Oryzias latipes: one gene and its partner. The protein of the gene in region 2 binds, or shares a complex with, the protein of the main gene of each other region. Links are inferred from orthologs where the notes say so. Each region holds a gene or a part of one and is shown on either strand. Other genes may lie near its edges.

What was found.
Region 1: acad9 (region 2) and tmem186 share a complex: the UniProt entries of both Homo sapiens proteins name them as parts of the mitochondrial complex. The link is inferred for Oryzias latipes from reciprocal best matches to the Homo sapiens genes ACAD9 and TMEM186.

The regions. Positions count from the first base shown.
Region 1 is NC_019859.2:36,187,820-36,191,269, forward strand, and holds tmem186 (transmembrane protein 186), read left to right. Parts: upstream 1-1,463; 5' UTR 1,464-1,602; coding exon 1,603-1,623; intron 1,624-2,076; coding exon 2,077-2,742; 3' UTR 2,743-2,811; downstream 2,812-3,450. Other genes in the region: gde1 (glycerophosphodiester phosphodiesterase 1), read right to left, coding at 838-1,107. UniProt on the Homo sapiens protein: As part of the MCIA complex, required for efficient assembly of the mitochondrial complex I.
Region 2 is NC_019863.2:25,296,301-25,299,119, reverse strand, and holds part of acad9 (acyl-CoA dehydrogenase family member 9, mitochondrial), read right to left. Parts: intron 2,353-2,819; coding exon 2,274-2,352; intron 2,191-2,273; coding exon 2,019-2,190; intron 1,950-2,018; coding exon 1,876-1,949; intron 1,799-1,875; coding exon 1,723-1,798; intron 1,653-1,722; coding exon 1,582-1,652; intron 1,509-1,581; coding exon 1,389-1,508; intron 1,311-1,388; coding exon 1,182-1,310; intron 84-1,181; coding exon 4-83; intron 1-3. UniProt on the Homo sapiens protein: As part of the MCIA complex, primarily participates in the assembly of the mitochondrial complex I and therefore plays a role in oxidative phosphorylation.

The sequences.
Region 1 (3,450 bases), on a different chromosome or scaffold from region 2:
TTTTTGTGTAAATTGATTTTAATCATTTAACTTAAATAGTTAAACTTCTGCTCTGTCTGAATTCCAACTCTAACTACTGAAAAACTGTGTAGCGTATATGTACATATATATATGTAGTGTCTTGGATTTAAAAAGCAATTCAGACTCCATGCTCACAACTTTTTTTTTTTTTTTACACGGCAGATATGATGTCATCGATTTCACAAAGTTAAAATATAATTACTATGAGCGTTTTGCACCGATTATTTTAGTCAACCGTCTTCTGAAGATAAAAACATTGATTCATTAAAAAAATACATGTTTTTGGTAATAATTGGTCCAACGCAATGCATTGTGGTCTATATTCGCTGATCTAGTGAGCATCATGCACACTGTTTTTTAGCAGAGACTTCTGGGAAATTTCTAGGGCCCTGGATGTTGGAATGGTAGATTTGGACAGCTCTAGTCAGGACATGTCCGATAACGTAAGCTCTTTCAAACGGTGGGGCTCCTACATATTTGGGGTTGCTTTGCCAAATCTTGCAGTTGCTTTAGCAACTCAAAGCTACCGATGGGCGCCGCCCCCTGTCTACGTCACAAATACGATCTTTTTCCAACAGCATTTTTTCGTCTGCTCCTGATCCACAACGATTTGAATAAAAAAGAACTCAGGAAAGCAGTTATATTCTCAACTTTCTTCATATTTGTCCTTCATCACCATAAAAAAGCCAAGAGATCAAGTTAAAAACACCAGAAACGCCGTTTTCACCAGAGCTTTCACAATAATGTGACACTGACTGACGTGCGTCTCCACGTGACACAGGACACCGTGAACACCTGTAAAGACATTCGTCTCACCTCTCTGATGGCAGCGATGGTGTTCTCCGGCGCGTCGTGCGCGCCGCCCCGGTGAGCGATCACGGACACCCGCGCGCTCTCCGCCCCGCAACCCACCGGCTGCAGCACGAGACGGGCTCGGCTGCGCGCCACTTGCGGGAAACGAAACATGGCTAGAAAACAGTACAAGGAAGTGGTGAGGACGGCAGACCACAGCGGACTTCGGGTCCCCAGTAAGACCAGCACGAAGACCAACGAGTGGAGGGCGACCTCGTCCCCCAGCGGAAGCATCGCGGCTCCTCTCCTGTCTGGAAACAGCTGGAGGAAGCGGAAGCACCGCCCGCGCGTCACTCAGACTTTCTAACCTGTCTAGGCACAGATATTCGCCATGGCACAAGCTCCGCCCCGCTGACTTGTGACGGCATCGAACGTGTAACGAAACCGGCACATTCGGCGTCTTTGAACACAGCCGTTAACGGCTGAAGCTGATCGATTCTCCCGTCGGGCCGGATGTGCTCCGTCAAGTCACGACAAAATAAAAGCCTGTAGTTTTTAACCAATAAAAACAATTTACCACAATAAATATAAAACATTTTTTTTCAATAAAATATGGCTATAAATACTATCAGCACTTTAAAACGCCTTACGTGGGCCAGCCAACCAAACAAAATGTGACTTTGAAATAAATTGAAGTAATAAAATAAAAGACTAAGAAAGGACTTCCGGGTCACTGGTCGGCTAACAGATCACTTCCTGTTCTCGTGTTGCTGTATTTTATCTTATTTTATGTCCTTGTCTCCTGTCCTGGTGAGTCTTTTTCCTCACGTTTTGCTTGTAGCAACAAAACTTCATTCGTCAATTAAGATGTTTCGTCTTTATTTATATTTTATTTATATACTAAACAGTTCTGGAGGTTCGACAACTGTTCAGAATGAACTGTCTCTAGTCTCAGCAGGTTACCTTTTCCAGATACCAGAGACGAGTTCAAAACCAGGAATAAGACATTTGACTTACAATACCATTTAGCAAATTTAGGAGGAATTACAACTGTTTTAGTTGACTGTATTGCAAATGTTGTAGTTTATCCATCCCAGATTTCATTGAACATGTATGTTAGAGTCTGGTTGAACTAAACCAGACCAATATCATACCAGTAACTTTAAATCACTTTATGAGATATTGGAAGAAACTAACCTTAACTGCTTTTCCGTCTCTCAGCATACTTCGAAGGATGTTTTTCTAAGTGAAGTTTTTTCTCAGATGGAGTCGCTGTTGCTGCGGAGGCTGACGTCCCGCCTTCTGTCATGTACCAGAGGATCCTGTTTGCTCTCAGGACGGATTGCTTACACCTTGGAGTCTCCTCCTTCTCCACACTCCTCATCAGTTCAGAGCCACCCTGGACCCGTTCCAGCTAAAGTTCCCACTTTGATCCGACACTACGACTCGCCCACCCCCAAATATTCAATGATTTACACCCTGCCACACATTAAGTTCCTCAGGGCGGTGTCCAGACTTAAACTCCTCCAGACCGCCATCACTGCTGTCATCCTGCCTCCAGTGTTTGTCCTGTATTTCCAGGGAGCCGTCTCCTTCTTTTTGGTCAGCTACTCCACTGGAATCGCTGCGTTTGCTGGCGTCATGCTGTACACGCTAAGCCATTTCTTCAGGAGGGTTGTAGGAATGATGTACCTTGATCCATCTCAAACCGTGCTGAAAGTTTCCCACCTTACTTTCTGGGGAAAGCGCAGTGATATGTACATTCCTGTTTCCGATGTTATGACCATTGGAGATACTGGAGATTCAGCGAATGAGACCATCCTCCGGCTTCAGAGGTACAGCGGCCCCGAGACGTTGTATTTCTCTGTGTATTTTGGAAAGGTGGTGGATAGACAGGGCTTTGAGAAAGTATTTGGAAGTTTAACATAAATTCTTTGAACTTTTCTTGGGGGGGGGGAAACTGTTGTGCTGGAAGTTAATAAAAATGTAAACATATTACAGTCCTGACTGTTACCTTCACATGTTCAATGCTAACTAAGGCCGAATCCGAATTCCTCCTCTACCCCTCCGGCTTCTCCCTATTCCTCCAATTGTTGGGGCATTTGGAGGGTCTGAAATAGTTTAAGGGGGCAAACCCTTCAAAAGGGTGATCCTGTAGAGGAGAAATGCATTTCTTCACTTGGGTTTGCTCTGAAGGACTGAAGTTAAGGACTTTTTGTTTTAGCGTCACTCTTTAACGTTATAAAACTGATGTTAGGAATTTTCCGAGCGCTGACGGGGACTATGGATTATGTCGTCGAGTGGGAGTGATGCCCGAATCAGGAGACAATATTTTCCCATATCCCTCCGTTTGGAGGGCTAAATGAAGGGGTAGGGAGAAGCCGCAGGGATGAGGGAAGAATCCGGATTCAGCCTTAGACATCTGTCCGCCATTTGTAGCAGATTTTTCCTGATTGGACACACGGAGTCCAGTTTCAGGATCAATAATTGGTTTTCTGAGCTAAATGAGTTGTAGAAATCCTAAAAGAAATGTTCTCAACGATTAAAAAAAATCCTAGAAATAGATATCTTGGAAGGATCACTCTTCAGAGGAAACCTCAGCTCTCAGAGAAGAAAAAGAAATCCAGTCATTGGGTT
Region 2 (2,819 bases):
TACTTGATTTTCCCTGTGAGGACTTTGCCGGCGTGCTGCATCCCTGTGAGGGCGACGTACATCCTCAGGATCTCGTTCGTGCCCTGCAGACACACACAGAAAGATAAGAAGGACCAGCCTGCTCTGTGTGGAAGTATGTGTCAAATAAAGCAACATAAAAAGAGAAAACTACATATGATGATGTAAACAGCTGAAACTTCGCTGACAGATGAGGAGATTGCAGTCTTGATGGGGAAACACTTTTGAGGCATTTATTAATAATTTCCACTTTATCGCACCAGATGTCAACGACATCCCTACAGCTGATGATTCCTGCTGATGACATGCGCCTGACGTCTTCAGCTGGGGGAAGCGGAGCCACTACAATCCAGTGACCCACAGTTTCAAGCACAGATGTAGTTTACATGTAACTGAAGAAACAAGGTCTGAATTCCCTCACTACTCACTATATGGTGCGTTAGCATTTTGTATTACAAAATAATAATTCAAAATCCTAGAAATTTCCCAGAAGTCTCTGTGAAAACTAGTGGGCATTGTTGCATTAAAACTAGGGCTCTAGTCCTGCACTATATCATATTTTATGGGTTAGGGAGAAGTGAGGAAATTCAGACATAGCCTAGGTGTTTGACATGTTTTGCTGAATATTTGAGACATCAAAACTAATACTGGTAGTTCCCAGTTTGGTTTTTACTGTGTGGTCTCTTGCACGATCTCCATCAGCTTCACAGCACTGAGAGCTTAATTGCATTAATAGTCATTGCATAAGAACCTAATGACTGATAGAAAATGCCTGTTAAAAGTGGTGATAAAATGTTCGTGTGATTCATGACTGAATTGCTGTAATATTTTATTTTTTTGTCGCCAAATGTCTAATTTAGCAGTCCTTGTACAGGTTTGCTCACTGCGCACGGAAGCAATGTCTCCAGCATATATTTTTCCTACACCAGTGTTTACATTAAGCTTTGTAAATGGCGATGTCCACCTGCGTTCCTTAACTTTTTTGCGTGTAGAAACTGACATAAATAAGGCTTCTGGTCAGCTCTGAGGCCCCAGTTTCTCCTGAGATTCGGGGAAATCCTGATGTTCAGCTTGGACAGTTTTTAGTACAGGACACCCAGAGGCTGCACTGATCGGATCCTGAACAGTGACACCTGCATACTGCAGCCCTGCCTCATCTTTACCTCAAAGATGGGTAGGATGCGGCAGTCCCTGACGAAGCGCTCATACGGGTAGTTCTTGGTGTAACCCAGACCTCCGAGGACCTGCAGAGCCTCGCTGACGCAGATCCAGCCTCCCTCTGAGCTGAACACCTGCGCGGCACAGAGACATCAGGGTGGGGCTCAAGCCTAGCACGAAATAGAGCACAGGAGGGGGGAGGCTGCATCTACCTTGACCATGGCAGCTTCCAGAGAACAATCTGGAACTCCAGGTCTATCCATCATTCCTGCAGTCAGGTAAGCCATGCTCTCCATCACAAAGGCATTGATGGCCATCAAGGCAAACTTCTCCTGCAGAAACACATGAGGACTTTTTAGCTTGGGTGTTAGCTGCTTTATTACAGTGAGGAGGCTGACAGCATACCTGGATCAGGCCAAACTCACTAAGGCTTTTGTTAAACTGCTTCCTGGTGGCGGCGTACTCAGAGGCCATCTCTGCGGAGAGAATATATAGAAATGCAGAGACTTCGAAAAGCACCACAACCTTCAGAGAATATCTGCTTACCGATCAGCTTTTTGATCATTCCGGCACAGGAGCTGCCCATGCTGAACCTTCCAGAGTTCAGGATGTTCATGGCGATCTGTTCATCACAAAGCTCCCATTAATGACCGACAAACACCTTCAACTGGTCAGGCTGCAGAGCAGGGCACAGTTTACCTTGAATCCTCCTCCAATCTCACCAATTACATTCTCCACCGGCACCGGCACATTGTCAAAGGACACCTCACAAGCTGGAAGTAGAACCAAAGCTCAGCTTCACAGACCCGACAAAGCTTGGAGTCCAACTCCGCCCCACTTACTGTTGGATCCCCGGATGCCCAGCTTGTCCTCTGGCTTGCCGCTGGTTATCCCCCCAAAAGCCCTCTCAACAATAAAGGCTGAGATTTTGTCTTTTTTGACTCCGTCCACCTCCACCTCAGTGCGAGCGAACACTGTCATGATGTCCGCCATCCCTCCGTTTGAGATCCAGAACTGACAGACAAAAGAGGAAGCTCAACACACCTACATGTAAAAAAAACAAACACGTGCACCCATGTGAGCGTCCACCGTCTCACCTTGGAACCGTTGATCAGGTAATGTTTTCCATCTTCAGACAGGGTAGCTCGAGTCTGAATGGAGGCCGCATCACTCCCACTGTAACACCAGATAACAGTCAGCCACGTGCACACAAACGTGCACTGTCATGTGCACAGACAATTCAGTGTTCTATTCCCTGAGTGCATAAAACTGTAATGTTTGTTTTGGGAAATTCAGACATGAAAAAAATTGTTTAAACTTTTATTTTGAAAATTTAAGTTAAAATGATGTTAATCGTTTGATCCAGACTCTTCCTAACAGGGTGACAAAGAAAAAATAGAAAGACGCTAAAGTGTTTTGTTGTAGAGGAAAGATTATTAAGATATACGACTACTTTCCTTCGAAATAAAAGCCTGTGTACTTTCAGTGAGATAAAAAGATGTGTGTGGGGGGGGGGGGGGGGGGGGGGCTGTGTGTACATGCATTCTCTCTGTTACTGCTGGCAGATATTCCCGTGCTCCATCACCTCTTTGCTGTCGGGCTGTGAGCAGAAACACGAATGAAGCTCCACAGAAAGGTTGGAT